Cricetulus griseus: one gene and its partner. The protein of the gene in region 1 interacts with the protein of each later gene in a pairwise test. Links are inferred from orthologs where the notes say so. Each region holds a gene or a part of one and is shown in the gene's direction. Other genes may lie near its edges.

What was found. The genes of interacting proteins can lie anywhere in the genome.
Region 2: the proteins of Hras (region 1) and Pde6d interact in a two-hybrid assay, tested with the Homo sapiens proteins (2 studies listed by BioGRID). The link is inferred for Cricetulus griseus from reciprocal best matches to the Homo sapiens genes HRAS and PDE6D.

The regions. Positions count from the first base shown.
Region 1 is NC_048596.1:59,991,671-59,997,110, forward strand, and holds Hras (GTPase HRas), read left to right. Parts: upstream 1-1,824; 5' UTR 1,825-1,899; coding exon 1,900-1,978; intron 1,979-2,849; coding exon 2,850-3,001; intron 3,002-3,188; coding exon 3,189-3,367; intron 3,368-3,500; coding exon 3,501-3,660; intron 3,661-3,754; coding exon of another isoform or gene 3,755-3,836; intron 3,837-4,320; coding exon 4,321-4,440; 3' UTR 4,441-4,446; exon of another isoform or gene 4,447-4,563; 3' UTR 4,564-4,862; downstream 4,863-5,440. UniProt on the Homo sapiens protein: Involved in the activation of Ras protein signal transduction. Ras proteins bind GDP/GTP and possess intrinsic GTPase activity.
Region 2 is NC_048595.1:438,216,690-438,221,367, reverse strand, and holds part of Pde6d (retinal rod rhodopsin-sensitive cGMP 3',5'-cyclic phosphodiesterase subunit delta), read left to right. Parts: intron 1-3,255; coding exon 3,256-3,344; exon of another isoform or gene 3,345-3,437; intron 3,438-4,079; coding exon 4,080-4,205; intron 4,206-4,678. UniProt on the Homo sapiens protein: Promotes the release of prenylated target proteins from cellular membranes. Modulates the activity of prenylated or palmitoylated Ras family members by regulating their subcellular location.

The DNA.
Region 1 (5,440 bases):
TGAGCTGGCCAATGTCAGCTCAGAAGCAAGTAGGTACAGGAATGGAGTGCTATTAGCTGGGGGCCTGGTCCTGAATCCCTTGTAACCATTTTAATGGGGGATAAGGTTTAGATGATGACAACGACAGTCAAGGGTCCTTCTGGGTCACCCAATGCAAACTAAGACACGGTCCTCATCCAAACTCTGCTGCTTCTTCAACTCCTAAAGGGGTGTGTGGTTCTGAATCTTCTGTAGGCCCGCCTCTCCTGAGCTCCTCCCCATACCTCTGGAGGAGTTTTTTCAGGTGCCTCTATACCTCTGGCAACAGGCTCACCTACTGTTTCTCCTTAAAGATACAGAGGTCTGTGTTTGGCTTCAGACCTTGAACTCAACAGTCTTTGGGCTGTAGTGAGAACTCTGCCCAGAACATTCTTCTTGGTCACCATCCCGTCGTCCCTGACCTCCATCCAGGTTTGGCCGACCTCTAACTCCTGCACTTCTTACCTGTCTTTCCCAGATACATTTTTGTAGTAAGAGTTACCTCTTTCCACTGCACTTCATGGTTTATTGCTTACTCAGTCCAGTGTGTCTTGCCCCAAAAGATGTAGGCCCCACTCCAGGTTTCCCCTAGCACAAGGGACATGAAGAGGCAGCTCTCACCTGAGGGGTGGGCCAGGATGCCCGAGACCAGGGGCCCAGCCCTGGACCCCTCCACCAAGGCGGTCGCTCTCTCAAGTGAGGGTTTTTTTTATTTTTTCCTCCGCGGTGGGGTTGCGGCCCTGGCGCCATGGCAACGGGGGCGGGGCCTCATTTGAATACCCAAATATTCGTGAGCCGCGGGCATCCGGGGCTGCGGCAGGATGAGCCCCGCCCCCTAGCAACGGTTGCCGGGACACGCGGCAGATCCGGTGGCAGGGTTCCCCTGAGTGGCAGGCAAGCGAGACGGATGAGAAGACGCCCACAGAGGTTCGGAGAGTTGCCCGTGAGAGGTTTCTGTCCCGCTCTGGGTTATCTGACTGCTGGCCGCATCGGCCGAGCCTAGCTCTCACCCCGGGATACACGTGAGCGCGCGTCCCCAGGCCTGCATCACCTGAGAAAGCCCTGTCGGTTTTCTAAGGAGGACGTTCTTACTCGTTTCTTTGAAATTTTCAAAAAGTTGCAAACATGTCATTTGCGTCTGACACAGATGTACCCTACTTGCATGAGTGGATGGAACATTTCATTTCGCCCTAATACCAACTTTTCTGACTTCCGGGGTCGTTCTTCAAATGGGGCACAGTATGAGCTGCTGCAGGGTTGGGACCTCGAGTTTTGGGGGAGGTAAGGGAGGGTCTTCTCCAAAGCACAAGGAGCGCGGTGTGATGGGCCGATGCTGCCTCGGGATGGGGCCTTCGCTACACCTCGGCCTCCGAGAACAGGCAGCTTGGGGTTCCGGCGGGTTCTGCCTTCCTCTGGTATCCCGCGTCCGCGGTGCTGACTGTCCCCGACGCCAGGTCCCGGTCGGAATGACCTTTCCGCTCCCAGGGCCTTTGGGCCTCTGGAGCGGCTGCAGAGTGTGGGCTCTGTGGCAGGCCCCGCGACCCAACCCGAGCGTACCCCAGTTTCTCTCCGGAGGAATCTCGGGTTCCCTCATTCTCTTCCGCACCTCGGAACTAGGCGTCACTCATTTGAGTGCAGTACCCAGGTCGCGACAGCGCTCTCTCTGCTACTCCAGGAAGCCCCGCCTAGCTGCGGCTCCTGACGGATGGGTCGCTCAGCCAACCACAACAGGTCGCGGTGAGGCGGAGCTCGACCAATCACCGACTGTCTAGAGTTGACGGACGGGGCGGAGCGGGGCGGGGCGAGCGCGGGCCCGGCCGAGTCCCCGCCGTCCGCGCCCGGCGCCCGCAGCCCGAGCCGCACCCGCCGCGGACGGAGCTCATGCGCGGCCCAGCCAGCGCCGGTCCGCGCCCCCACCCTGCCCCGGCCCCGGCCCCGGGGGCAGTCACTCCAGCAAGCGGTGAGTGCGGGCGTGGGGTGGGGCGCGGGGCGCAGGTGATCGGTGCTTCCCCTCTCCTCTCACCCCGGCAGCGTGCCTAGCGCCCGGCTGCCCGCCTCTGCGGCCCGGCCCGGCCCGCCCCGCCTGTAGCCGCCCTCCCGGCGAGGCGCCGCCCGGGCCTCCGGAGACTCTGCGCCCCGCGGCCATCACGCTCCGGCCTCGGGGCTACAAGGACACCCGCTTCAGGCCCCAATCAGGGCCTTCTGTTCCCCAGTCACCCCTCGCGCCCCTTGTGAGTCTTTCCCGCAGTCACCTGCTTCCCACACCCTCAGCCGCTTTTCCACCCCTGCTTGCTGAAGGCTCCCTGGCCTCTTGTGGAAGGTCTGTCTCAGCGGAGGGCAGGGTCCCTCTCCAGCCACCCTTCCCCCGCTGCCCGGACCGCGCCTGGCATGCAGTAGGCGCTCAGTAAATACTTGTCGGTTGCACCCACATGCCGGCGGGCCGGAGCCGGTTGTAGGCTGGCACTGGCCTGCCTGGGCACGCTGAGTCCGCCGTGGCAGGACCTGTTTTTGGGGGGTGGCCTCAGCCCTCAGGCACCTCCCGTTGAGGCTTTCTGCCTACCTAGCGACTTCTAATTTGGGTGCGTGGTTGGGAGAAGCTCTCAGCTGTCAGCCCTGCCTTGGGGGCCTCTCCCTGCTTCCTCACACAGCCATTAAGTGCTGGTGGAGGAGGTGGGGGGCCTCCCTGTCCCAGCTGGAGGTGCCACAGGTGAGTGACTGGGCCACTGTGGTGGCTGGCCTGCCTGCTCAATGCTGGTTAGGGCCTTTGGGTCAGGCATCTACTAGCAGTCTCAAGTGGCCCGGGCCTGGATAAGTGTGGCTCTCATTGGCAGGTGGGGCAGGAGCTCCTGGAGTGGCAGCCTCTATAGAAGCGATGACAGAATACAAGCTCGTGGTGGTGGGCGCTGGAGGCGTGGGAAAGAGTGCCCTGACCATCCAGCTGATCCAGAACCATTTTGTGGACGAGTATGACCCCACCATAGAGGTGAGCTCTGGCTACCTGGCTCTGGCAGTGGTCATGGAAGAGTCAGGAAGGCCCACATAGCTAGGTCTTGCAGGTGGTATGGGTCTGCTGCCACCTAATCTATCAGAACATGAGAGGTGCAAGGGTGGGTGGGCTCTGTGGATTCTCTGAGGAGAGGTGGAACGCCTAAGCTCTGTTTTTTTTACAGGACTCCTACCGGAAACAGGTGGTCATTGATGGGGAGACATGTCTGCTGGACATCTTAGACACAGCAGGTCAAGAGGAGTATAGTGCCATGAGGGACCAGTACATGCGCACAGGGGAGGGCTTCCTCTGTGTGTTTGCCATCAACAACACCAAGTCCTTTGAAGACATCCATCAGTACAGGTGAGCCACCTATGGCTAGCACAGGTGAGGAAGGTTCCATGTGCACACTGAGGGTTTATGTCTTCTGAGTGTCCTGGGTACAGCCATGCCTGTAACCTGCTAGCTGGCTCACATACTCCCCATCCCCTTCCAGGGAGCAGATCAAGCGGGTGAAAGACTCAGACGATGTGCCAATGGTGCTGGTGGGGAACAAATGTGACCTGGCTGCTCGAACTGTTGAGTCTCGGCAGGCCCAGGACCTTGCCCGCAGCTATGGCATCCCCTACATTGAAACATCAGCCAAGACCCGGCAGGTGAGCTTGCTCCCCACTCCATAGCTAGTCAGGGATTCACCCCACCCCACCCCAGCCAGGGAGCAGAGCTCATCGCCCCTCTCCCTCAACACAGGGCAGCCGCTCTGGCTCTGGCTCCAGCTCCGGGACCCTCTGGGACCCCCCCGGGACCCATGTGACCCAGCGGCCCCCATGCTGTAAGTCTCCCAGACGGCAGGGCTGTGAGGGAGGCAAGGGCCAGGGTCTGGGCTTATGCCCTGCAGTTCTGGGTTGACACAGCGCCAGGGCAGGAGGGGGTCCATGGAGAGAGCTGCCCTGAGCCAGGCCGGAGCGGTGACCCAGGAGCCTAGTCCTTCTTGTCCTCATAGTGTCCTATGAGTACCTGTTAGTTTTGAGCCCTAAGTATGGGCAGGGTGTTCAGACCTGAGCCATACTGGGGGTCTGGGAGAGTTCTGAGTCGAGTTGCTCTGAAGGATATTCCAGAGTGAGCCTACTTAAGGAGAGTGGTCCTGTGCCTTTTAGATGTGCAGAGCCCAGCTCCCTATTTGTGTTGGTTGTGCAGCCGAGGAAGGGTTGTTTTCCAGGGTTGGGGTGTTACCTGATCCAGGCAGGGAGTTTCTTACCCAAACAGCACCCCTTTCCTCCTTGGAGTCCCCTCTGATCCAGTCCCTCTGTTCCCAGGGTGTGGAGGATGCCTTCTACACACTAGTACGTGAGATTCGGCAGCATAAACTACGGAAGCTGAACCCACCCGATGAGAGTGGCCCTGGCTGCATGAGCTGCAAGTGTGTGCTATCCTGACACCAGGTGAGGCAGGGACCAGCAGACATCTGGGGCAGTGGCCCCAGCTAGCCAGATGAACTTCATATCCACTCTGATGTCCCTGCTCCCCCCCATCCTGCCAATCTCCCTGCCTGAGGTCAGTGGTGTCCTTTGTGCCCGTCCCGGCACAGGCTCAGGACGTGGAGGTGCCGGATGCAGGGAGGAGGTGCAGACGGAAGGAAGGAAAGAGAAGGGAAGGAAGGAAGGAAGCGATGCTGGAGCCAGTCCAGTCCAGGGATGGTGGACAGAGGTGACCAAGACCTTCGCATGGACAATTGGAACAGACTGTGTCATGAACTGTCCCTATTGCCACTGGCACCCCAGTCCTCAACCCCTCTCAGTTCCCTTCGGGTGCCTATGGGGCACAGGTTGAATTACAGTAAATTATTTGATGGTCTTGACTTGTCTCTGGCTGGGAGCAGGAGGTGTAGTGCCTGTGGCCTCACAGAAGATACTGGGAACCTGAGATTCATCATCTGCCTTCTTCCTGTTTCTGAGAAGAGGATGGGGTGGCTAGCCTGGGACCCTGGACTGTATGGTCCTTCCCTTCTGCCTGCCCCAGCTGTCTTGTGTTTCCTGCAGAAAGCTATATGCAACACAAGAATAATCAGGTGATCTAAAGAGTGACCTATTGTCCTTTAACTAATGGGAGGAGGAGGGCTTAAGAGTAAGGGGGCATCTCTTGTCTCCAGCAGGAAACACATTTCCTGCATTCTGGGATCCATGAAGTATAGCCCCAAGGATTGCAGAGTGTAAGACCTGCCCCGCCCCAGTATCCTGCAGCCCCCTGACCAGTGATAGAGATTCTAGGACTCTGAAAATAGGACCTCAGTGTTTTCTGTGTGGCCTCAGACTTCTGTCCCATCAGTGCCTAAAGCCTAGCAATCTCAACTCCCTGAGAGGGTAGAAGCTGCCTTACCAGTTCCTACCACCTCTCCAGTGTGTACAGATGTTCTCCAAGTCACCTGTATGGTCTTGA
Region 2 (4,678 bases), on another chromosome or scaffold:
GGCTCAGTACTTTGCAAGCTTTGATTTCGATCTGAAAGCTACCAGTTTTTTTAAGATTTATTTATTTATTATATATGCAGGGTTCTGTCTGCTTGTATGCCTGCAGGCTAGAAGAGGGCACCAGATCACATTACAAATGGTTGTGAGCCACCATGTGGTTGTAGGGAATTGAACCCAGGACATCTAGAAGAGCAGCCGATGCTCTTAACCTCTACCCATCTCTCCAGCCTGAAACTTATTAATTATTTTTTTGGTTTTTTTAAATATGTATATTGATATGTGTGTGAGCATGTGAGTGCCACAGCTTACTTATGATGGTCAGAGGACAACTCTTGGAAGTGGCTTCTCTCCTTCCACTATGTGGGTACCCCAGCTGTTGGTGCTTTTACATGTGAGAGCATTTGACTTGACCTGGTCCCAGATAAGAGTCGTAATACCAAGACATGCTCTCCTCTAAGGGGAGACTTCCAGTAGCAAAGGAGTGTTGCTCTGCTCATCCTCCTTACAAACAGCAGGGAGCCTTTAAAAGAGAGGAGGTGACCTGGCTGACCCAGAGGGTGGTGTTTATAAATAGTACCCAGCACCCCCTCCTTTAAAGCCTGTCTACCTAATCCTCTCTCTAGATTGCAAGTGACTTGACCTTTGAGCCTTAAAACTTGGGGTGTTCTTTTCTCTGAAAATTCTGCTCAACAAAATGCTGTTGAAGCAAAAATGTTTTCTTTATTTTTATTTTATAATTTTACGTGTTTGGGTGTTTTACCTACATGTATGCCTGCATGCCACTTACATGCAGGACTCACTGAAGTCAGAAGAGGGCATTGGATCCCTGGACCTGGAGTTAGAGACAGTTTCAATCTGCCATATAGTGCTGGGAATTAAACCTGAGACTTCTGGAAGTGCTCTTAACTGCTAAACCATCTCTCCAGCCCCAAAGCAAAAATGTTTTCAACCAGATGATCAGTCATCAGATCTTGTCTTTCACTTTTGAAAGCCAGCTGTTCTAATTGTTTGGGGAATTTTTGTTTGATCGATTTTTATTTTAGTTTGTTTTGTTTTTGAGATAAGGCCTCTCTCACACTCAATCCTGCTTCAGCCTCCTGCATGCTAAGATTATAGGCCTGTAAATCAGTTTGTTTGCTTGTGTGCGTGCGTGCGTGCGTGCGTGCGTGCGTGCGTGCGTGCATGCGTGCGTGCGTGCGTGCGTGTGTGTGTGTCCCTCAGTTCTGAGAATGAGCCTGGGGAACCCAGGACATTGAGAAGCTAGCCCACCAGAGGCCCAGCCTGCCTTTCCACTCCTAAAGCCACTGAACTTAAAGGAGCCTTAGTTATTTCAACTCAACCACCTTTGGGTAGAACTCTCTTTTGTATTTCTCTGGTTTCATATTGTTTATAGTAGATAGTATCTAATTAACGCCTATGACTGTGGAATGAAACATTTGATATAGACACTGGCAGTTTTCCGATTAGGGTATATGAAAGAAATGAAAATTGTTGAGTTAACCAAGAAATTTTTTTTTAAGCAGGGCATTGGTGGTGCACACCTTTAATCCCAGCACTCGGGAGGCAGAGGCAAGCGGATCTCTGTGAGTTCAAGACCAGCCTGGTCTACAAGAGCTAGTTTCAGGATAGGCTCCAAAGCCACAGGGAAACCCTGTCTTGAAAAAACCAAAAAAAAAAAAAAAGAAAATGTTTTTGTTTGAATGTTTGCCTGCATGTATGTATGTGCACAATGTGTGTGCAGTGCCTGTGGAGGCCACAAAAGGGTGCCAGACTCCCTGGAACTGGAGTTACAGGCAGTTGTGAGCCACCTATAACTTCAGTTTTAAGAGAGCCAATGCCTTCTAGTCTGTCTAGTCACCTGCACTTGTATATGCAAACCCACACAGAAGCACACACACAAGTACCTAATTAAAAATAAGGTGTGGGAGAATTCACTCAGCCATTAAGAGCACAGGCTTCTTCTTGCAGAGGACCTGAGTTTAGTTCCCAGCATCCACATCAGGAAGCTCACAACCAGCTTTAACTCTAACCCCAGGGGAGATAGATACCTCTGGCCTGCAAGGACCCCCCCACACAGACACAGAAACATACATAGTTTTCTTTTTTACATTATAATTACATCATGCCCACCTTCCCTTCCTCCAAACCCTCTCATGTACCTCCCCACTTGCTCTCTTTCAAATTCATGGCCTCTTTGTCTTTTCCTTTCCTTCCTTTGGTTTTTTTTTTTTTTTTCCTCCCAAGTGCTGGGATTATTGCACTGCTCAGCTGTAGCTTTTTTTTTTTCCTCTAGGCCTGAGGCATCTTTCTTGAACCTGGGCTGCCCATTCCCAGCTCCTCTCTTGGTGAGAGTTCAAAGTAGCAAGAACCCCAGGTGTAGTAGGTGCCAAGAATGTCAGTTATTTAGAATGGGAACAATTCAGATGACAGCAAACAGAACCAATTTGGGGCCAAAGTACAGTTTTTAGCCTTTTTACTCCTTCACTTGACCCCTAGAGTGGCTTTTTCTCCACACCAAGGTCACAGCTTTCTGTATGTCAGGCCTGCCCAATGCTTCTTGTGCATTAAACAGCTGGACCCCTCTGGAGTTGGGAGGTCAGGTCCACCCGGGGATTTGCTTCAGAGCCCTGGCTCTTCAAGCAATACTGTAGTTGTGCCTACTCTTTTGATAGCCACACCAAGTGGCTCTCCTAAAGTCCTTGAAAGGTAAATATCCAAAGGAGATGGTCGTGCCTTTTCTTGGGAGAACCTGCCAATACTCAAAGGTTTCAGTAGATCATGACTTTCCAAGTTAAAGGCATTTGTGTGTGTGTGTGTGTGTGTGTGTGTGTGTGTGTGTGTGTGTGTGTGTGTGTGTGTATGTATGTATGAATTCTTATGTAAAATGATGTAGATAAAAATCTCTCTGATGGCCGGGCATTGGTGGCACACGCCTTTAATCCCAGCACTCGGGAGGCAGAGGCAGGTGGATCTCTGTGAGTTTCAGGCCAGCTTGGTCTACAGGGCAAGTGCCAGGAAGGGTCCAAAGCTACACAGAGAAACCCTGTCTAGGAAAAAAAAAAAATCTCTCTGGTGGTCTCTGCCTCTTCCTTGAGGCATCTTCTGGACTCTCCTACATATACTTACCTGCTTTCATGGGAAGTTTGACAGACTTGCTACAAAATAAACAAAGTTGATAGGAGCAAAGTGAGACCCTACCCTGCACCGTAGGGGTCACTCTCAGAGCCTTACTTTTCCTTAATCATATTTGATCAGAAATTGGATGAATCTTCGGGATGCTGAAACAGGGAAGATACTCTGGCAAGGAACAGAAGACCTATCTGTGCCTGGGGTGGAGCATGAAGGTACTTTGCAGCCCCTTGAATGCACAAGCTGTGCCCAGTGCCAGAACAGGTCCTGGCATCAGGGAGCTAAGTAAACCCACAGCCGGTAGACAGGTGAGCCCCACAGGCAAATAGAACACTTCTTTTTCCACTTTTACATTTCTTTATTTCAGTTCCCCAAATCCACTGTAGCATTGGACCACACCCAGATCTGGATGTGATGGCTCATATCTGTAATCCCAGAGCTTTGCAGATTGAGACAGGAAGATCAAGAGTTCAAGGCCAGCCTCAGCTATATAGTCAATTCAAAGCCAGTCTTGAACCACATGAGACCTTATCTCAAAAAAAAAGAAAAGAAAAGCTGTAAGCTAAGATTTCAACTTATTCCAAAGGAAAATTTTCATTTTTATCTCTCTGGAGAAAAAAAGAAAAGGTAAAGGATTTCAGTGACTTGGAATATAGAGATGACACCCACACAGCCTGCTTAGCGGATACTCACAGCCTGAGCCTGCCAGCAGCTAGTTGAGGACTATGGAGACACCAGATCTGGTGTTCCTTGGCAACATGTCACATGTGTTGATCCATTAGATCTCTGCCTTTAGCTGGAATATAATGCAGTTACCAAGGCATTTAATGTAATTTAATAAACATAACGCCTTCTCTAAGGCAGCCAAAGGAACTCCCAGGAACCTAGAGCATCGTAGCCCTGTGGTTCTCATTTACAAGGGTACCTATATCTCTCTCTCTCTTTATCAGCCCGTGTGCCCAAGAAAATCCTCAAGTGCAAGGCAGTGTCTCGAGAACTGAACTTTTCTTCTGCAGAGCAAATGGAAAAATTCCGCCTGGAACAAAAAGTTTACTTCAAAGGGCAATGCCTAGAAGGTATTCTGCTACATGTGTGCCTGGAGCCAGAGTGTAGGAGGATGGGGCAAAAGGCAGATGCTTTGAGAATGCTAATTTTATAACTAATAGAATGTCTACAAACTGGGCATCCCCAGTGAAAACAAACAAGGCTGGACACAAAAGGGGCTTTGAGCTCTCTGACACTGGAAGCTTGAGTGCCTGTACCTGTGCCTGTATCTGGTGTGGTATTACAATGTGGTCTTGGAAGAAGCAGCTATGGTGAAGTGTAGTATAGAGCTGTACCTGCACATCATAAGCTGAAACTAGTAGGGACTCCCGGCATTGAGTAGTTCTCAAATGTAAGAGAACATGTAGGCGCCATAAAGCTAAAATTCCAAAAGGCTCTCTATCTCTATTTTAGTGCACATCTTGTTACTCCTAAGGAAACACAGCTGGGGCTGGAGAGGTGGCTCAGGGGTTAAGAGCACTGATTGTTCTTCCAGAGGTTCTGA